2 linked regions of the Mytilus edulis genome follow. The protein of the gene in region 1 purifies or fractionates together with the protein of each later gene. This does not show direct contact. Links are inferred from orthologs where the notes say so. Each region holds a gene or a part of one and is shown on either strand. Other genes may lie near its edges. The genes, in order: iron-sulfur cluster assembly 2 homolog, mitochondrial-like; putative transferase CAF17 homolog, mitochondrial.

Evidence for each region.
Region 2: the proteins of iron-sulfur cluster assembly 2 homolog, mitochondrial-like (region 1) and putative transferase CAF17 homolog, mitochondrial purify together in Homo sapiens (co-immunoprecipitation; 4 studies listed by BioGRID and IntAct, with this or other methods). This does not show direct contact. The link is inferred for Mytilus edulis from reciprocal best matches to the Homo sapiens genes ISCA2 and IBA57.

The regions. Positions count from the first base shown.
Region 1 is NC_092346.1:1,251,833-1,263,540, reverse strand, and holds the start of iron-sulfur cluster assembly 2 homolog, mitochondrial-like, read left to right. Parts: upstream 1-7,236; 5' UTR 7,237-7,296; coding exon 7,297-7,370; intron 7,371-11,708. Other genes in the region: calcium-independent protein kinase C-like, read right to left, coding at 3,403-3,469, 3,671-4,012. UniProt on the Homo sapiens protein: Involved in the maturation of mitochondrial 4Fe-4S proteins functioning late in the iron-sulfur cluster assembly pathway. May be involved in the binding of an intermediate of Fe/S cluster assembly.
Region 2 is NC_092353.1:80,594,315-80,606,032, reverse strand, and holds the start of putative transferase CAF17 homolog, mitochondrial, read left to right. Parts: upstream 1-6,792; 5' UTR 6,793-7,074; intron 7,075-11,718. UniProt on the Homo sapiens protein: Mitochondrial protein involved in the maturation of mitochondrial [4Fe-4S]-proteins in the late stage of the iron-sulfur cluster assembly pathway. Operates in cooperation with ISCA2 in the maturation of [4Fe-4S] proteins.

The sequences.
Region 1 (11,708 bases):
ATAAAAACGATAATAATTTTTTAAAGACAAAAATACACGATGAAACATTTTAAATCAATCAAAATATTTTTAAAAAAATAGTGAATTTATGACAACTTTTCGTGTGCTTGGTAATTCAGGCCTGAAATTATGCGCAGTCGAATAGTCCCGATCCACCTTAAGGTAGAAAACTTACTTAGTGTAAGGATTAAGAATTGAAAATTTAACGTCTGAACCAAACTATTTCAATTGCAACATAGAACTTTTTTTACAGTAAGCATGTTCCAATCTTAAATTTATATGACATTATCCATGTTCTGTATGCATTACCCCCAAACGATTTGAAAAATGGAACAGGAGATGGACAGAAGCAATGTGTGAGAGATAAATAGCTAGGAAAGTTTATTTCAAACAAGAAAGCTTTGGATCTGAAATAAATACTGATGGACACAAGGCAATACATGTTCAACATGTTCATACATTCATTCGTAGATTATAGAGTATCAATATTTTTAAATTCTGACATCAAAATAGCTGCCAACCAATTTTTTTTTCACCATGCATTAATTCGGAATGGTACTATATTACTTCTTTAAATCAATTTACGTCTCAAGATTTGAGATTTGACAAAAAATATACATTATATGCTCCCTAAAATTGTGACATTAGAAATCAATATGAAATGCAGATATCTACAGATTAAAGTCAAATTCTGGGCCATTGTGACCAACTTCTACCAGTTCTAGTTTTAATTCTGACTTGGTTACCAGAAATGTGTATGGAAGAATGGAAATTCCCTTTTCTAGTGATCTGAAATTTCCAGCACTTCTAGTTGTGATAAAACCATTCGGCACAGTAGCCATTGGTTGTAGCCAAAATGCAACAGATGCATTTTTAACACAATTAACTGTTATAGCAGCAAAAAAAACACATCATTATTGGTTAAATTCTTAGTTTCGAAATTTTTGTTGCTGTACATCTTGCATTCCTCTGGAGATTTATTAAATTATTAGAAGATAAATAAATATGGAATGTGTCTGTGGGACACAGTTGATGCCCAAGCTCACATACACCACTATGAAGGAACATTGATCAAGAACATTAATAATGTCACTACCCTAAATCATACTTAATTTGAAATTGTGGTAATAAACAAAGTATCCAAGAATTTTTCCATTTGTAAAGTAGCATAACTTTTGAAAGGTAGAAGTGATGCCATCCAAATTCAAACTTAATCTGTGTTTTGTGGTAATAAGCATTGCGTTTCATAACATTTGATTGAAGCAAACAAATTTTGGGCAAACAGACATTGACAGACTTAAGGAAGGACGTACAAGAGTATAACATAATGCACCCTTAGCATTGCTAGCATGGACATATAAAGTTATTTTTAATTATAATGTCATTTCAAGATATATTTTGGAAATTGATATGTATACAATACATTATATTATTTAAACCGTTTTTTTTTTCAAAAGTGATTATTTTCGAAAGGTTAAATATTTCGCGGTGGTGTCTTGCCATGGCTTTGTTTGGACTTGTTTGTTTGCTTTTTTGGCCTTGAATGTTTTTCCCTAATATTTTATTAACTGTGCATTTGCATTCAGATATCGCAGATCAAATTTATTCTTTCAAAGTGTGTTAATTTACGTTTTTTGATTGAGTTGGGCCTTCCAATTGATATTTTATTGTGTGTTTTTCTATGTTGTGGTGTTATGCTATTGCTTCAGAAAAAAAGGATAAGGTTTGGTACCATTTAAATGTTTAATCCTGCTGCAAATGTTTGCACCTGTCCTAAGTCAGGAATCTAATGTACAGTAGTTGTCGTTTGTTTATGTAATTTATACATTTTTACACGAAATAAGTCATTCATCCTTTAAACAAGTCATAGTATTATTTTAACTGACAATTTTTTTTCTTTTTAATATGATGAGCGCCAGAATCAGAAAAAATTATTTCACTGATCGCAAGAATGATAACTCTAACAAGTTAATGGCACAACAGTCAGACAAGACAGTTGGGAACAGACTTCATGAAAATGCTTTATGATCTTTAGGACCTTAGGTGAAGGTCAAGTAAACATTCAGTAAATTTCTTTACTGCAATAAATTTTACTAGACTCCAATAATAAAGTAGTGCATTCGAATCAGTAGCTGGTGAATATCCAAATTTACATTACAGAAGGGAGGGTAAGGTTTTTTTTGTTCAAATATTTTTACACATGACTTTGAAAACAAAGTGCCCTGTAGCTTGGAAATAAAAGCTTGCAAGCAACATGAGCAATTTGTCTGTTGCTTCTCCCTTAATGCATATGCTGATGAAATTTGCGAAATTTTCATTGACCATTTTTAACGTTAAGTATTAAGTTGGACCAATGTCATGAATGTGCAACTTAATCACATGGCGTAACATTAGTCTGATTTTCCCATGTATATAGTCCAAATAATTATGACGTCTTGAAAGGCTATTATAATTTTTTTCTTTGACGCCTTACATCAACGTCATAATGCTGAAGCCGCCATTTTCGGTTGGACTTTGAGAGCATATTTTGCTCTCAACTTTGAGACCCAATTTAGCCATCAAATTTTCAATGAAGGCTAAAACAAAATGCATATATTAAAATTCTTACCTTTTATGTGTTTGTTTGTGCAAAATATTTCCAATTAATCCCTACAGAAATAATAATATAAGTAACAATTCCATCCGAGGCGGGAATATGTCGACTGCATTTTTTAAAACGTTTGTCTGATTTCTTTTTAGGAGATTATAAAATAATTTTTACACCAAACTCGGTAAAACCCGAATTTCCGGAACCATTGTTTTACATTATCCGGAAATTCAGGTTGGTCAAAATGTACCGAGTTTGGTTCAAAAATATATTTTATACACCTTTAATGAAGCATCTTGAGGAGAAATCAGCTTAACGTTTTTATAAAGCAGTAAATTCCCTATCAAAGTCCAACTGAATATATGAGTTTGGCGTTATGACGTTGATGTAAGGCGTCAAAGAAAAAAATTATAATAGCCTTTCAAGACGTCATAATTATTTGGACTACCATGTATATGTCCCATGTTACTTGTCATTTTACAAAAAAGAAAAAAATATAAAACTCTTATTAATTTATAATAAATTTACTTAATATCTAAATTTGATATGTTATATACTGAATTCATTTTCTATATGACAATAGCATTGGCAGGGGTACAATGCTATTTCCATAATTCCCATCATATCATAATGTATACATTATACATACTAAAACTTATATAAAATATCTGACATTTAAACAATATCTGTTGTGTATTGAAGAAATAGTTTTCATCAATATACTATAACTGGTATGTATTTATGACAACATTGTGTTGTTTATTGTACATGTGTGTATTGGTGTCAGAATGTATGTTAATTATATGGGGTAATACCTTCAGTTGATTCGGCATTATAAAGCTGTATAATTATATGTATCTTTCCTGTTGGCTCCAGATCAATCTACAAAATAAATAACAACATATTTAACTAAAGATTTAAAGCAATACATTGTTTTTATTCAGTCCAAATTAAAACAGTGATTCTAATAATATCTTTTTCTGATTTGTGTATTCCGAAAGTCATCCATCTTGAAATTTTGATATGCATTCGCTTCAGCAGCAAACATAAATAAAAAGAAAATAAGTCTTAAATTGAACTCACCCACATGTCTCTCGTTTTCTGGTCTTTTATATCATCAAAAGAAAGGAAACAATTAGCCACAAATTCGTCCGGAGGAATGGCAGCATCATGGAAAACTGTCAGTCCGATAGTTTGGCCATTATGGACTTCCAGATGAAAATCTTCATTCCATACTGGTTTTAAAGTTTTTGGCTTTGTTGACGTCCTGTAGATATGAATGTCATCTAGATCTATTGAAATATACGGGTCAATTAACTGTACGGCCTTAGCTACACTCATCTGAAGGCGAGTGGCACAATCAGTGGGTCGTAGATCGACCGCTTCGCAGATTTTTAATTTCATTGATCCAGTGAAAGATGCCATTTTGGGTAATTTCCAGACATTAAAGCGATATATCCACACACAACGTTAAGAATTCGGTATATTATATAATCGTGTCATGACAAATTGTGTGGCAACACTGCCATCGAGTTAAAAAATCATCCGTTGTATGCACTGCTAATTCACGGAAGTTCTACAATACTAATGGGAAAGGAATAAGCAGGTGTAGGTGTTACGCATGCGCTAAAATAGCAATTAGCGACCTTCAACTTCAAAGAAAATATATATTCTAATATCGGACTAAAATATATATACAGATTAAAAATAATTTCAATATATGTACATTGTCATAATTTTAAATAAAAGGGACAAATCATTTGAAACTATTTATGATGATGATTAAAATCTGGAGCCGTAAAATGTAAAAAATTAAAATGTTCATGATAATTATATCTATTGGCTAGGGTTTTGAATAATAGTCCTATAAACAACATTATTTTTTATAAGTAATAATATAGTTCAATAACGAAAAATGCGTATATTTCAATTCTGATTTTAAATACTTTAATTAACATACGAAGAGTACCCGTGTCTCTATGACGTCCGCATCATGAGTAGAGGTGTTTTCAGTGACGTCCTCGCTTAATTGACGTCCGCGTTTTTTCATGTTTAAAATAACGCTAGAATCGGGAGAGCAAACAATACTTTTTTTATACGAATACTCCAAATATGCACAACTATGAGTACATTGGTTTGAATGGGTGGTCTTCAATTAATTGAATTCCGTTTAATTTTTTGGAGGACTTTTAAGAAAATTTTAGTATAGAATAGAATATAATATTTTTATTTCCCAAATTACAGGGCGCATAAAGGGCATAAAATCCGATACAATTGATTTACATAATTGGTTAACAACAACAATAATAGAGGCATATACATATATATTTGGAATATAAGCAATTGGTCATAATCAAGCTAAAAACCACATATATATGGGAATAGAAGAATAATAAACTTATATTATATATGAATTTATTCTCAAATTATTTACTTAACTTAGTGTCAGTGTTCATACCTGATCTCTTTATCTTAAAAAAATAACTCATTTTTGCTCTTTTTTTTTTTCGTCCATTACTTACCATTATTCTCTATTGTGTACCAGTAACACTTGAAGATTGGGGACTAACAATTTATGATTTAAAATATTGCCTTTTAAATCTCAATATATATATATACTTTGCGATCCCCTGGTGCTGTTGAATATAATAGTACACGCACTATTCTCAATTAAAGGGTTCATATAGAGCATAATTATATCTACAAAGTTCATGCAATATACATCATCATCATGCACTAATATTTGCTGCATTTTATTCTCATTCATTGATGTATTTTCCTGCTCTGGACTAGAAAAAAGTGAATGTTTTAAAATCCCGTTTTAGAAGAATAATAAAATATTTCAACGATAATAGTTCTTGTAAAAAATATTACTTTATATTTTCCCTGACAGTCATAACTTTTAAATCTGACAAGACATACCATTTCATATTGAAAGTTATCGTGTTCTTATGGACGACATCAAAACATGCAAAAGATCGATGTAGGATAACAAACTTAAATCAAATAGTTTGGGGTGGGGGTTAACATTGCTGCAAGTTTTGTTAATTTAAAATCGATTTTACATATATCCATATAGGTAAATCAATTTTTCCCAAATTAAGTTAAGAGGGGGGTGGGGGCAGGGGGTCAGTGAAAAAACTATGTGAATTAAGTTTTTTTTTATCCTTCATTGAACTTTTGATGTCGTCCCTTAGCATACCAGAAAACTTACTTGCGGAAATTAAAATTTGAGCGGGACCTTAAATTAATTTATGACAATATGGCCCTTCCTTCGAGTACTATATGAAACGGTTTTCAACAACAAATATGTACAGAATAATCTTTTTAATAAAAATCTGCAACTTTAGTTTCAACATGTGCGTGTCGAGCTATCTGAAAAACCATTTCTTAAGCCTGGCAATCACAATCAATGGAAGCTTGGACCAATATGAATATTATCATGTATTAATGTATCATGTATTTAGTCCGAGATAGAACTGAGGAAAGTTAACAATACGAAAAGTACAATTCAGTATGCAATAATATTTAGTTTATGAAATTCCGATCGAAAAAAAAGCACAAAAAAAGAATCCAACATTGTTTTGCGACTTTGCCAGTCCAGAAAATTTAGTACATTTAGTGTTTTAATATAAAAAAAAAAGTAAAAACATAAAAATACTGAACTCTGAGGAAAATTCAAAAGGAAAATTCAAAATCAAAAGGCAAAATCAAAAGTCCAAACACATCAAACGAATGGATAACAACTGTCATATTGCTGACTTGGTACAGGCATTCTCTAATGTAGAAAATGGTGGATTGAACCTGGTTTTATAGCTAGAAGTTTGATGCAAAATTTAGAAATAGAAAGGTTACTTTTAAACTGTAAGTCTAGTGATAAGAGAATTAACACAACAAAGATGAGAATAATTTATTAAATAAAGTATTTATCATAATTAGTGCAGACCATAATTTATTGAAAGAAAAAGGAAAACATTTAAAAATACCTAGAAAAAGACTATGACCATCCTGCAATACATTGGAGGATGAAGCTCATTTCATTTTATACTGTAACAAAAATCTAAACTAAGAGATAACTTTTTAGGAAATGTAGTTAAACCTGGCACTATAATGTGTTATATATATATAGTAGTCTCAGGTTAAATACATGCCAGATTTTCATGATGTCCTCACGGTGTAGAAAATTGAATATTTTCCCCCATCAACTTCAAAACGGAATTTTAATATCCTTTTAAAACTTAAAACAGGTATTAGAATGAGGACATGAGCTCTTTGATTGATTTATCATAAAATATATATATGACTTAGTAGATCGTTAGATTTTTACTTGTGTATGTTTTTATTGGGATATGAAATATATCTGATATGACTTAGTAGATCCTGAGACTACTATAAAAATGTGTTATAGTACTCTCAGGTAGATCGTTAGATTTTTACTTGTGTATGTTTTAATAGGATATGGATTTCTATGGCTTTCATTTTAAAAATGTGTTTGGTGTTTGTTTGCATTCATGTAATTTGTCACAAACTTATATATGTTTAGAGTTAGTTAGTTTATATGACAAACTTTTTGAATAATTTGACTGATCATATATAAAATTTATGACCGTTATGTTCCTGTGTTGTATGCATCACTGTCTTTCGGTATTAAGCCTAAGTAAGAGCTAAAGGGATACAACTCTTGATGGAATGAAGTAAACAAAAACGAAATGACATCTCTTCTGAAAAAAGTGTCATATACGGCTTTCTGCGCAATTAGAAGACAAAATCTTACAAAATACAAGTATAAACAAGAACCTCATAACATCTTGAAGTTTAAAATGTTGCCTTGCTTTTATATATGACATTTTAGCTTATGCAACATTTTAAACTAACAATTTAACAATTTTCAACTTGAAAGACTTAGTAAACATGTTCCCTATGATTCAGTATGATATGATCTTTCTAATTTTAATGCCAAATAAGAGTTTTCCCCCAATTTCCTGGTCCACTGAACATAGAAAATGATAGTGTGAATGGGCCATCTGTGTACATGTACCATGAACGAATCCGGGTCCGTTCGCGCCCATTCACGTTCGCACCCACTCATGTTCGCCCCCTTTCACTTTCGCACCCAAAGTCCGTTCGCACCCTACATGTTCGCGCCCAATTTCAACTTTGTAATCAAGTAGTATTCTTATAAGTATTATTGTTTTCATTGTCTGAAAATAAAGTGATACAGCATTTTTTTGTGTTGAATAAATCTTAATCATGTTTTGGATAGTGTATTTAAAAAAAAAAAAATATTCCTTTCTATTTCTAAATAAAGTGGGATTCTGTCAACGTTTTATTTTGTGTTGAATAACTCTTTATCATGTTTTGGTTAGTGTATTACTATAACATGTATAACTTTGTTTCATATTGACTTGTTTCAAAATGAAGTGAGATTCTGACTACGTTTTTTTTTTTTTTTTGAGTCTTGAATAAATTTTATCATGTTTTGGTTATAATAGTGTATTGCTATATTTTATTGTTTCTTTGTTTCAGCATGTTCAGATCAAAGGGACCAAGCTGTTAAAAACAATTATCTTTTGTGTTTTTCATTTATAATCTTGAATCTTTTACTCATACCAAGCTATAAATACATTCATTATTTACACGAAAGCAATTAAAAACAACAATGATGATTTTCCAACTATTCAACTGGAATTTGAATTAAAATTGGGCGCGAACGTGTAGAGTGCGAACGTGCGAGGTGCAAACGTGTAGGGTGCGAAAGTATATTGGGCGTGAACGGACCTGATACCTACCATGAACACATTCTTATTCACCATGACGTCCATCTACATATTTTTTCTATAAAATTAGTTCTATGTCTAGATTATGTCTTCAAAAAAAATTTTTTTTTTTTAACTTGTACCTAAATGTTGCAGACCGTATGCATACTTTTTCAAAATACCCATATGGTCGGACCTTACGCATACGAAGAAAAGACATGAAAGTAAAAACATGGTATTCAGTTTGACTTTCACATTGGTATCACATCATCAATACATGGTATAAGTGTGAACCAATTGTCACTGGACATTAAGCCAGCAACAATCTATCAACCCACACTGGTATGAAGATATAAAAAAGAAGATGTAGTATCATTGCCAATGAGACAACTGTCCACAAGAGACCAAAATGACACAGAAATTAACAACTATAGGTCACCGTACAGCCTTCAACAATCATGACAATGAGAAAAGCCCATACCGCATAGTCAGCTATAAAAGGCCAGAAAAGATCTTTCAGTTATTACATGTGTGATTCTATGATGACTAGGCTCAGTTTAACAAACTTATACAATACAATACAATACAATATTTTTATTTTCAAATTTTAAAGGGCCCATTAAGAGCATAACATTAATTACAACTTATTACCTTAGAAAACTTGGCCTATAAGAAAGCTTAACCCCTTAAAATAAATAAGATTAACTTTGTTAGTTAGTGAGATGATGGTTGCATAATTTTAGATATTTCTTCTTCTTCTTCTTCCAAGTAAGGAACCGTATTCATCCTGAATGTTTTTGGTCCCGCGAAAAACTTGGCGCATTGCCGGGCAAGGCAGCAAGTCCTCTCAAAGTTATATACATTTAAAACATTCGCCAATTTACAATTAAAATTATGTACACTCTATGCTGTTCATTTCCTTCCAGAGCCTGCTTTCAGAGCAGCTCTGAAACCCTCTATCGAGTCGGCTGATGTTGTTTTAGCTGGTAGTTGATTCCAATCCCTGATGGTCTTTGGGAAGAATGACTGTCCATAGGTTTCAGATTTTGTTCTTTCTTGGTAAAAGCGGCCTATACCTCTGGTCCAGCTGTCATTGGATATTGTTGTCTATCTATATCAATAAGCCCATGCTGGATTTTAAATAGCATACATAGTCTGTTGGTTTTTCTACGTTCTTCCAGGCTTTTCCACTGTAATTGTTTAACCATGTGTGTTACACATCCAGGTGTTCGGTCTTAGTAGTTATTATGAACAAATCTTGCTGCTCTTTTTATACGACTGCAAAAATTTTAATTTTTCGTCGTATATTGCTATTACGTTGGCGTCGTCATCCTGCGTCGTCGTCCGAATACTTTTAGTTTTCGCACTCTAACTTTAGTAAAAGTGAATAGAAATCGATGAAATTTTCACGCAAGGTTTATGACCACAAAAGGAAGGTTGGGATTGATTTTGGGAGTTTTGGTCCCAACATTTTAAGAATTAGGGGCCAAAAAGGGCCCAAATAAGCATTTTCTTGGTTTTCGCACTATAACTTTAGTATAAGTAAATAGAAATCAGTGAAATTTAAACACAAGGTTTATGACCACAAAAGGAAGGTTGGGATTGATTTTGGGAGTTGAGGTCCCAACAGTTTAGGAATTAGGGGCCAAAAAGGGGCCCAAATAAGCATTATTCTTGGTTTTCGCACCATAACTTAAGTATAAGTAAATAGAAATCTATGAAATTTAAACACAAGGTTTATGACCATAAAAGTTTTGGTCCCAACAGTTTAGGAATAAGGGGCCCAAAAGGGTCCAAAATTGAACTTTGTTTGATTTCATCAAAAATTGAATAATTGGGGTTCTTTGATATACTAAATCTAACTGTGTATGTAGATTCTTAATTTTTGGTCCTGTTTTCAAATTGGTCTACATTAAAGTCCAAAGGGTCCAAAATTAAACTAAATTTGATTTTAACAAAAATTGAATTATTGGGCTTTTTTGATATGCTGAATCTAAACATGTACTTAGATTTTTGTTTATGGGCCCAGTTTTCAAGTTGTTTCAAATCAGGATCCAAAATTATTAGGGCCCCGCCAAAGGCGGGTCCCCTATAGTGATCAGTCTGTCCGTCCATAACACTTTGTGTCCGCTTCATATCTAGAGAACCATTATGATTTCATACTTTATACTTTACATGTTTATTAACCACCACCAGAGGGTGTGTCATGATATATGTACAACTTCCTAGGTCAAAGGTCAAGGTAAAAAAACTTTGGTTTCAGTTGACAACCCTTTGTCCTGTTGTGAAGATCATGTCCGCTCTATATATTGAAAACCGATATGATTTCAAAGTTTATACTTGACATGTATATGAACCAACACCAGAGGGTGTGTCATAATTTATGAACGACTGCCTAGGGCAAAGTTCAAGGATCAAAAACTTTGGTTTCAGTTGACAACCCCATGTCCTATGGTAAAGATTGTGTCCGCTCTAGATCTTGAGAGCCGTTATCATTTCAAAGTTTATACTTGACATGTATATAAACCAACACCAAAGGGTGTGTCATAGTTTATGTGCAACTTCCTAGGTCAAAGGTCAAGGTCAAAAACTTTGATTTCAGTTGACAACCCCATGTCCTATGGTAAAGATCGTGTCCGCTCTATATCTTGAGAACCGTTATCATTTCAAAGTTTCTACTTGACATGTTTATAAACCAACACCAAAGGGTGTGTCATAATTTATGTACAACTTCCTAGGTCAAAGGTCAAGGTCAAAAACTTTGATTTCAGTTGACAAACCCATGTCCTATGGTAAAGATACAATTTTTTAATGCACATTATTCACAGCGGGGCCCACAGAGATGACTCCCATCTCAATGATATCTAGTCATTTTAAGTATTGTGCAATAGCAAGAAATTTTCAATTGCACAGTATTCAGCAATAGCAAGAAATCTTCAATTGCACAGTACTGTGCAATAGCAAGAAATTTTCAATTGCTCAGTATTGTGCAATATCAAGAAATCTTCAATTGCACAGTATTGTGCAATAGCAAATATTTTCAATTGCACAGTATTGCGCAATAGCCAGAAATATCTAATTGCACAATATTGTGCAATAGCAAGAAATTTTCAATTGATTGGAGTTATCTTTCTTTGTCCAGCATAGTAGTTGAGTCAACTTAAATCATTGTTTTATACAATATAAAATTGAGAAAGGAAATGGTGAATATGTCAAAGCGACAACCACCCGACCATAGAGCAAACAACAGCCGAAGGCAACCAATGGGTCTTCAATGTAGCGAGAATTCCCGCACCCGTAGGTGTCCTTCAGCTGGCCCCTAAAATATGCATAATAGTACAGTGATAATAATATACAATGTATAT
Region 2 (11,718 bases), on another chromosome or scaffold:
CCCGAAATCCCGGGCTTAAAACCATGAAATCCCGAGATGCAGAATTTAAAGAAATTCATATCACGAAATCGAGCTTAAAAACACCCGATCCCGACGCCCCGAAAAAGGTCCTGCCTCCCTCTAATCTCTACCTTACTTTCATTTTTGCCAAATCACTATTTTCCCTTTTAACAATAAATTTTTATGCCCCAATTGTGAGCATTATGTTGTCTAGTCTGTGCGTTCGTTTGTTCGGTCGTCCGTCCGTCCGTCTCGTCCGTCTGTCCCACTTCAGGTAAAAGTTTTTAGATGAAGTTGAGCATGTTTTACTTGTTTTAATATATATGCAAGTAGTATGACCCCTTAAATAGTAAACATTTCAAAGAAAACAGTAAACAGAATCAGGGACTTTCTATACTAGCATAGAAATTTCCTGACAGAATACAGAGAGTCTCTATATATTAAAGTATTATAATCGTAGTTTACATGTAGATAAACGCGAAAAATATTTGTCTTATGTAAGGAGGTATAATAGTTGTGATTTTTGGGATCTAAACACCATGATATGGAGAACGCTCTACGATTGGTTGTACTTATGTCACATGTTTTACTTATTTTAATATAAATGCAAATGAAATGACCCCTTGAATAGTAAACATTTAAAAGAAAAAAAACAGTATACAGAATACAGAGAGTCTCTATATATTATGCGACTTATATTAAAAATTTTAAAGCTCAATTTAAACTGACTGTAATGTATGACTTTGATAGAAAATACTTGAAAATTTCATTTTGGGCTACAGGAACATAAACTTTCAATATCAAGATCAGTTTTTGCTGATTTTTCCTTGTTTGTTCTACTTCTTTAAAGACTTTCCACAATTTTTGCAATGAATTTAGTAAAAAATCCAAGGTATTGAAGTGTCAAGGAATATTGACCCCCCTTTTTTTCATCTGGTGTCAGTAAAGTACTACAAATTGATCAAAAGTGCAGTCATTGTCATTTAACTGTGTTTATTTACATCAGTTAATAAAATTTAAGATATAAAAATTCCATTTGGAATAATAAATGGTACTTTTGTGAGTTTCTGCAGTGTTTACATTAGGCTATATATATATATGCTATCTGCCAAGTACATATTATGACGCAATGATATAAGGGGTAAAAATCAAATAATTTCATTAAATCTTCATGACAAAATTTGTTTGGGGGTAGTAAACAACCTATGTTTCAATGTTTAACACCACAGAATAATTTTCTGTGGATTTATAACATTATTTAGGACATTTTTTATATAAAAGCATATTGTCAGGGTGGGAAAAGCTAAAAATAGCACAAACTCAAGTTTTAGGCTCTAAATTTGCAATATGTGACATTCTGCCCCCAAAAAGATTGAAATGTGGCTACTATTATCTCAAATGATCAGTTAAGACAAAAAAAAACAATTGTTTTCTGATTTTGATGTTTCACCGCATTTTGCTTAAAGGTGTCAGACCACCAATTAAAAGTCCCTATCTGTTCAACCAAATTTTGCAATTTTCATAGCTTTCTAAATTTTTTATCTTAAGTTTAACCTCTTACAAACCAGGTATGTCCTGAATCGTACAGGTATCACCTTTCTTCATGCCAATTTTCAGCATACCTTTAAAGCCATATAAGAAAGAAGAGACCTTCCGAATGGATGTACCACTAAAAATAACCCCTGGTTTTCTTGAAATCTTAAATTAGTATACTATGGAGCGCATTAATCCTCAATTTTTAATGTCAACTCATAGACAAGTAAATTTGGGCTCAAAATAGTCTTAATATATTTCTCTTTCACCAAAAGTTTCATTTCTGCAAATTTGTTGGGTAGTTTAAGTAAACAATGACATCAAATGCACTATTTTTTGTTCGAGTAGGCCTACTTTCACGTTCTAAATTTGAGGGAGTAATTGATCGTAATTGGTGGTGTGACACCTTTTTGTAGTTTTTTTCCCCAAAATAACTCAATCTGAATAATCATAAGAATGGATGACAAATGCGACTATGCAAGTAACCTATAGGACACAGAGGCATGGTGATTGATTTATTGTGGAAGGAAGAGAAGCGACACACAAAATGAGGTCTTCTCGTTTAATAGTATAGATTTCCTGTCCGTGTACTGATCCAGTTTTTGCTTCATACGAAAACATATGACGACGTTTTTGACATACAAAAATCACAAAATAATCGGAAACAATACAAAAATCGTATTAAGCCGTGACAAAAAAATCTCAATACCTTAAAAAATTCTACAGAACATGCCTTTCAAATTTGAGTATACATGTGAATAAAAACTCAACAGTGAAAAACGTAAGCAGCGAAAATTGTTATTAGTACGAAAACACATCACACTTTAAATAAGTTTAAAGGGTGCCGTGAGTGAGCATACAATCGACAAAAGCACCTTTTAATGATCTGGAATATTTCACGACAATCTATGAAGGTTTATAAATTGTAATTTGAGCATGTAAAACAATTAATTGCGCGAAGAAGAGCCCGACTGTTATTCTATCAGAAAAGAACAGTAAAATGAACGAAAACAAATGCTTTCAAAATTTTAGCTTTAGACATTAGTCATAGAAAAAGCTTCTTCAGCATTTTCATAAAATTCAATGAAGGTTCGACAAGTAGTTAATGTAATTGAGAAATAACAAAATGTAAGCCCAAACTGCGACCACTTATTAATTGTAGAAAGAAAAACATTTTGTACTTAAAATGCGGGAAAATTAAAGATATAGTTGCATTATAATATTGCTCTGAATACTCTTTTGTTCATAAACAGTTTCTGTCCAACTTTCGTAAAATTTCATGGAGAGTCATTCAAATGACTTTATCCACATTCGGAACCTAAATATTGACGCCGCTTTGTCTCGCTTTTGGGACATAACTCACAGGCTCGACAAAAATACAAACAGCATATCGAATCTGAGCAGATAGTGAATTGCTTTGAATATAAGAAAAGTACGTAGAATTCATAGTAGATTCAGACTTTTACAAAAGATTCGAACAAATATATTAAATGATCTATTTGAGTAAATTTAGTCCCTTTTTAGCTCACCTGGCCCGAAGGGCCAAGTGAGCTTTTCTCATCACTTGGCGTCCGGCGTCCGTCGTCGTCCGTCGTCCGTCGTCGTTAACTTTTACAAAAATCTTCTCCTCTGAAACTACTGGGCCAAATTTAACCAAACTTGGTCACAATCATCATTGGGGTATCTAGTTTGAAAAATATGTTCGGTTACCCGGCCAACCAACCAAGATGGCCCCCATGGCTAAAAATAGAACATAGGGGTCAAATGCAGTTTTTGGCTTATAACTCTGAAACCGAAGCATTTAGAGCAAATCTGACAGGGTTAAATTGTTTATTAAGTCAAGATCTATCTGCCCTGAAATTTTCAGACGAATCGGACAACCGGTTGTTGGGTTGCTGCCCCTGAATTGGCAATTTTAAGGAAATTTTGCCGTTATATTGTTATTATCTTGAATATTATTATAGATAGAGATAAACTGTAAACAGCAATAATGTTCATCAAAGTAAGATTTACAAATAAGTCAACATGACTGAAATGGTCAGTTGACCCCTTTAGGAGTTATTGACCTTTATAGTCAATTTTTAACCATTTTTCGTAAAGATTAGTAATCTTTTACAAAAATCTTCTCCTCTGAAACTACTGGGCCAAATTATTCCAAACTTGGCCACAATCATCTTTGAGATATTTAGTTTAAAAAATGTGTGGCGTGACCTGGCCAACCAACCAAGATGGGCGCCATGGCTAAAAATAGAACATAGGGGTAAAATGCAGTTTTTGGCTTATAACTCAAAAACCAAAGCATTTAGAGCAAATCTGACGGAGTAAAAGTGTTTATCAGGTCAAGATGTATCTGCCCTGAAATTTTCAGATGAATCAGACAAATGGTTGCTGGGTTGCTGCCCCTGAATTGGTAATTTTAAGGAAATTTTGCTGTTTTTGGTTATTATCTTGAATATTATTATAGATAGAGATAAACTGTTAACAGCAATAATGTTCAGCAAAGTTAGATCTACAAATAAGTCAACATGACCGAAATGGTCAGTTGACCCCTTTAGGAGTTATTGCCCTTTATAGTCAATTTTTAACCATTTTTCGTAAATCTTAGTAATCTTTTACAAAAATCTTCTCCTCTGAAACTACTGGGCCAAATTATTCCAAACTTGGCCACAATCAGCTTTGGGTAATCTAGTTTAAAAAAATGTGTCCGGTGATCCGGCCATCCAACCAAGATGGCCACCATGGCTAAAAATAGAACATAGGAGTAAAATGCAGTTTTTGGCTTATAACTCAAAAACCAAAGCATTTAGAGCAAATCTGACATGGGTAAAATTGTTTATCAGGTCAAAATCTACCTGCCCTGAAGTTTCCAGATGAATCGGACAACCCGTTGTTGGGTTGCTGCCCCTAAATTGGTAATTTTAAGGAAATTTTACTGTTTTGGGTTATTATCTTGAATATTATTATAGATAAAGATAAACTTTAAACAGCAATAATGTATAGCAAAGTAAGATTTACAAATAAGACAACATGACTGAAATGGTCAATTGACCCCCTAAGGAGTTATTGTCCTTTATAGTCAATTTTTAACAATTTTTATAAAATTTGTAAATTTTTACTAATTAACATTTTCCACTGAAACTACTGGGCCAAGTTCATTATAAATAGAGATAACTGTAAGCAGCAAGAATGTTCAGTAAAGTAAGACGTACAAACACATCACCATCACCAAAACACAATTTTGTCATGAATCCATCTGCTTCCTTTGTTTAATATTCACATAGACCAAGGTGAGCGACACAGGCTCTTAGAGCCTCTAGTTATTTAAAATTATATAATCCATTGAAAAAAGAAGCACAAGGATGATGTGCTTTTGACCATTTTTTCTTATTCTATGTCGTTTATTTGTTTTATTTTCAAATTCAACTGTACGCTCGGGCGTTTTGAGGTAAACGTAGCTACGCGCATGACGGTCATGACTGTCGATAGTCTTTTAAGGATGTACTTAGGTGAGGTTTGGTAAAAATTAGGAAATTAAGAAATTAAAAATGATACTATAAGCTGGTAGAGCATCAATTAAGGATAAAGATAAGCTAATCATGGACCTCCTTTTCGAGATATTTGAGATTTAAAATATGGCGGGAAAAGACTGACTCGGACTTTTACATTATATTTGCATTGGTATCATTTGGGTCTCAAAACAAAAGAAAGAAAACCAAGAGTCTTCTAAAATTTTGGTAAATGACCTTTCATGAGCTATTAAGTCTTATATGAAAAAATAAATGGGTGTTATGGGGCAAAATAATTTACATTGTATTGTATGGAGAAACACCAAGGAGTCCGAACATTTGACACAAATTCATGCCACAACTTCACCTAAGTACATCCTTAAGCAACTGGACAGAAAGTCAATTAAAACGGCATTGGGCGATTTATTTTAGGCAGTGTGCTGTTTGTTATTGAACCAATCGGCTGAACTTCAGAAATATATACCGGTATATTAGTATGACCGAGATAACATTTTTATTAGTGTCATTGGACAAAACTACCCTCAGACTAATACATAAAATACTGACGTTTTCAGTGGCGGATCCAAGGGGTTGGGGGTTGGAACTCCCCCCTTTTTTTGGCCGATCAATGCATTTGAATGGGAATATATAGTTGGAAACCCCCCCCCCCCCCCCCGTTTACTCTGAGTTGGGACCCCCCCCCCCTTTTTAAAATGGCTTGATCCGCCACTGGTGTTGTATATTAGCTATTTTTGGCAACAACTGTTTTTCAGCTGAAATTTTTTTTCTATTTGCTTTTTTATATTTAAGATTAGAAAAGTGATGTGTCGATATACTTGTATGAAGTCCATTGTTCAAAAGCTCGAAATGATTCCAGACCGTATCTCATAATTAATTGATCAGTTCAAGTTTTTTCTTTTTTTTCTTTCCTTTTCATGAAGCATGTTATAAAATACTGTTCCCGCGAACCAATTTATTTGGTTTTTCAATGCAATCAATTATACTATTTTTTTTAAAATTTAACACTATAAGCAAGGACGTATAACTAAGTGGGAATTTGCATTTAGAATATTTTTTTGCCATGTACTTGACCAGAATATTTTTTTTCATCAAATTAGGGATCAGATTAGATTTTATTTTATTAAACAAAACATACCCTCCCCCTAAAAGGTTAATTCCCTAAGTATACCTAAATGTCTATAGGCAGAATGACTTTAGTCTTTAGTCTTTAGAAGTGTCAACTTGACACTATAATCTCTATCTGTAATTTCGATCACTCTGGTAATTTTATGTCTCTATTGTATTAAACTCATTAGTACATTTGTATTTATGATGTGGCACTGCAGAGAAACTAAATAAATAAATAAATAATTAAATAATTAATTCAAAAAAAAAAAAAAAAAAAAAAAAATCAAAAAAAGAATAAATAATTAACCCTTATAGGACCTTAACTATCTATTTTGTGAACCTTCCAGTATCTTTAATAAAAACCTAGTACTTCTGATTCAAGTGTTAGTTTTGATGTTATGAAATAGAGTGCAGAGCGGAGTTTTTCTCTAGCCTCCTCATAATTCTCACAATCCAGAAGATAATGGTCAACTGTTTCTTTTTGTCCACACCTGCATTTGTCGATGAGTGCAGGGCATATCATTGATTTATATGAGTTTAAATTGCAATATATGACTGTGTCTGTAATTTTGATGGGTTCTCCGGGAACTGATTCGGTACTTTGTGACGCGTTTTAGCATGTTTCAATTTTGAGTGATCTCCCCTGTCCTATGATTGAAAAGTTGACTTTCAGTTTCACTGTTTTCTTCACCTGTCTAGCTTAAAGTGAGCTTTCAAAGATTTGACAAGTGCATCTGTTCTGAAGATAGAGTAACAATATTTCTTGATTATTAAAAATTCACGTAAGGCCCAGCTTGCTCGACAAATTATATCCCATAAACAAAGCTGTCAGGCAGTAGTGACCCCAGTGACAGTGTTATTTACATGTACCTAACTGTCACTCGACTCCTAACGTATATAGAGAAAGGTCAGGAAAAAAATGTTTTTTTTCTAATATATAGTTTCAATATGTCATGTATGTATACCAAATAATATGAGGCAGGCATTACCTGTAAATGGGGATGAAGTCTGTATGAATTATTTTTTTATACATGTACAGTGTTCTCCCCAGGCCATTTTAGCGTCGCAGTACCGCGACACTATTTTTTCACCGTGATGCTATAACAATTCCCGCGACGCTATAATTATTTCCGCGACGCTATAATTATTTTGAAGATGCTATTTTACTTGTCCTCAATTTTGAACTTTCATCAATTATCGAGTATGATCATAAAAATGATATCACCCTTAATTGTAATCCCTTTAAGTGGGACACTAAAGGCAATTAAGAGATTAAATAGCTAGGTGTTAATTGCCCTCAGGGTGATAACTGTTTGGATGCGAATATCCCAAGCCAAGCTGACACTTGTGACATGACTAATACCACGTGTCTGCAATCACCAATTTCGACATGGAAAAATGCAATCACAAAACATTTCGAAATCTACGTTTTGTAATACGAAATTTCAAAGATTGAAACGATTTTTATTTTTTTTTTTAAAAAGGTCCTTTATTTGTGCATCTTTCCAAAAATTACTTTCTTTCTCTTCCGGTAATACGAGAGCGAGAATTTTGGTTTAGAGCTAAACTAAGTTTAATACTTCTTTAAAAAGTTATCATAATTGGCTTAAGTCTATGTTTAATCCATTTAATGCATTAAAAGCGTCTTATTCTTTCACAATCTCTTGTCAAACAATGTTTATTCTCTGACTCATTTTCGTAAATTTTTCTACAGCCGCCATTGCACATTTTTGTGTAAACTGCGGATCGGAACCGGACCAGATATGACAAAAATCTGCATTTTCATGATAGTGGCAACAGATGGACAGTAGACAGAAAAAATATACCAAGAGAGAAAACTACGCATTAACAGACTATTTGTTAGATAACTTTGTTAAAAATACATATCATTTTGATGTAAAGATAAGAAACAACTGGGACTAATTTATTGAGTGCCATGAAACAATGAATTTCATAAACATGATAAAAAAAGTTTTTAAATTGATTTTTTTTGCTACTTTTGCTACTTTATCTTTACTTGATAATATGAGGCAGGCATTACCTGTGAATGGGGACGAAGTTTGTTTAAATTAATTTTTTTGTAACTTAAATATTTGTTAAAAAAAGAAACAGAAATACCGTAACTTTTCCGATTTTGGTTCTGTTGTTAGGGATTTTACTTGTGACGTTATCTAAGTTATGACGTCATGTTCAATGTAAACAAAGAAACGCAATGCATTAGGTAACGTTTATTCATACCAAAGACAAAGAATGATTAAAAATGAAATATTGGTATTGTGTTCCTTGAGTTCCTATATTTTACTAGACTTATCAAAGTCTCACGACAACAAGACCGGAAGAAGGAAGTAGAGTTATGTGTTCTGCGCAGATCCGGAAATTAAAAAACGCGACAAAAAAAAAAAATTGAACGATTTTGAGTTCATTAGTACAATGAAAAATTCGGGAAATTTTCCCGATTTTTTTTTTTTTATTTTTTTTTATTGAATTTTCTACTGTAATAGGGGACTTCGTCCCCATATAATATAAAAATAGTTAATTTTGTGTACTAGATATTTAGTTTTGTATATAAACAGGTTGATCTATAATGAACCATTCATTCATTTGACTTATTGTTGGGTAACTGAAACCACATATTTATTTTTATTTGGCACAAGAGGAAAAAAATAATTCTGTAACAATATATCAATAAAGAAAACATAAACTGAAACAACTGTTTTTGTGGTTATAGTTTAATTCTATTCTCAGTTATGAATTGAACAATATAAACTAAAACATATAAAGGAAATAGAGTATCAACGCGACGCAACAAACGACATTAAAAAAAATACAGTTATTTTTTTTACGCAAAATGTGATGCTATCCAAAATTTCTGGGGAGAACACTGATGTAACTTAAATATTTGTTAAAAAAAGAAACAGAAATACTGTAAAGTTTCCGATTTTGGTTCTATTGTTAGGGATTTTAGTTGTGACTTTACTTCAGTTATGACATCATATGCAATGTAAACAAAGAAACGCTATCATCAGGTAACGTTTTTTCATATCAAGGAATTATTAAAAATGAAATTGGTATTGCGTTCCTTCCTATTTTATACTAGACTGATAAATATATATGTAATCAAAGTTTCATACAAACAAGACCGGAAAAAGGATAAACATTGTAGATTTCTGCGCAGATGTGGGAATTCAAAACATGACATCAAAAAAATTGAACGATTTTGAGTTCATTAGTACAATGAAAATTAAAAAAAAATTTTTTTTTATTGATTTTTCTTCTGTTATTGGGGACTTCGTCCCCATATAAAGGAATTGCACTGACCACAGTCACTTTCAAGCGACTGTGCACTGACACAGAAGGTGACCCCACTCACAGGTGATATCAATTATGTTCCTTATGTCATAATTACAATACCCTTCCCTTTTCACGATTTTGACCTACCGAATTAGACTTTTTACCAGATTTGTAATAACATGAGCAACATGATGGGTGCCACATGTGGAGCAGGATCTGCTTATCCTTCTGGAGCAACTGTGATCCCCCCAGTTTTTGGTGGGGTTCATGTTGCCTAGTCTTTAGTTTTCAATGTTTAACTTTTGTCTTCTGTACTATTATTTGTCTGTTTGTCTTTTTATTTTTAGCCATCATCTCAAACTCATAGATTGAAAACAAACTGACAACACCATGCCATGGCGTTGTCAGTTTGTTTTCAATCTATGAGTTTGACTATCCCTCTGGTATCTTTCTTCCCTCTTCTACGTCTACATAAAATTTTGTAATTAGGTCAATATTGTTAATGGACCTTGAGATTATGTAATTGAAAAAAAAAAAAATACATAATGCCATACATAATTTGGATGCTGTGATTCTTAGAATGGACATATTTGAACAATAAGAACTGTTTCACAAAAGAAATTTATTCAAGGTTATCATGGTTATTGCAGCCCTATTAAATGGGCACCACGATTTCAAGGACAAATTAATATCCCAAGCACAACACAACGGGTGTCACATATGGAGCAGGATCTGCTTACTCTTTCGGAGCACCTGAGATCACCCCCAGTTTTAGGTGGGGTTCATAACTTCATGTTGCTTAGTCTTTAGATATTCTATGTTGTGTCATGTGTACAATGTACTATTATTTGTCTGTTTGTCATTGTTCATTTTTAGCTCACCTGGCCTAAAAGGCGAAGAGAGCTTTTCTCATCACTTGGTGTCCGTCGTCGTCGTTGTCCGTCGTCATTAACTTTTACAAAAATCTTCTCCTCTAAAACTACTGGGCCAAATTTAATCAAACTTAGCCACAATCATCATTTGGGTATCTAGTTTAAAAAATGTGTGGCGTGACCTGGCCAACCAACCAAGACCATGGCTAAAAATAGAATATAGGGGTAAAATGTAGATTTTGACTTATAACTCTGAAACCAAAGCATTTAGAGCAAATCTGACTGGGTTGATTTGTTTATCATGTCAAGATCTAGCTGCCCTGAAATTTTCAGACAAATTGGACAACCAGTTGTTGGGTTGCTGTCCCTGAATTGGCAATTTTAAAGAAATTTTGCAGTTTTTGGTTAATATCTTGAATATTATTATAGATAGAGATAAACTGTAAACAGCAATAATGATCAGCAAAGTAAGATCTACAAATAAATCAACGTGACCAAAATGGTCAGTTGACCTGTTAAGGAGTTATAAACCTTTATAGTCATTTTTTACCAATTTTTCGTAAATTTTTGTAATCATTTACAAAAATCTTCTCCTCTGATACTACTGGGCCAAATTTAACCATACATGGACTCAATCATCATTGGGGTATCTAGTTTAAAAAATGTGTGGCATGACCCTCCAACCAACCAAGATGGCCGTCATGGTTAAAAATAGAACATAGGGGGTAAAATGTAGATTTTGGCTTATAACTCTGAAACCGAAGCATTTAGAGCAAATCTGACAAGAGGTTAAATTGTTGATGATATTAAGATCTATCTGACCTGAATTTTCAGACGAATCAGACAACTGGTTGTTGGGTTACTGCCCCTGAATTTGTAATTTTTAAAGAAATGTTGCCGTTTTTGGTTATTATCTTGAATATTATTGTAGATAGAGATAAACTGTAAACAGCAATAATGTTCAGCAAAGTAAGATCTACAAATAAATCAAACATGACAAAAATGGTCAGTTGACCCCTTAAGGAGTAACAGCCCTCTACAGTCAATTTTTAACAATTTTCATAAATTTTGTAAATTTTTAACAAAATATTTTCCTCTGTAACTAATGGGCCAAGTTCATTAAAGATGAAGAAGTAGCAAGAATGTTCAGTAAAGTAAGATCTACAAACACATCACCATCACCAAAACACAATTTTCTCATTAATCCATCTGTGTCTTTTGTTGAATATGCACATAGACCAAGGTGAGCGACACAGGCTCTTAAGAGCCTCTAGTTAACCATGTCAGTTTATTTTGGATCTATGAGTTTGACTGGTATCTTTCACCTCTATTTTACACACTAATGAATTTACAAAAGAAGCATTCAATTCTGAAATAGAAATATTCAA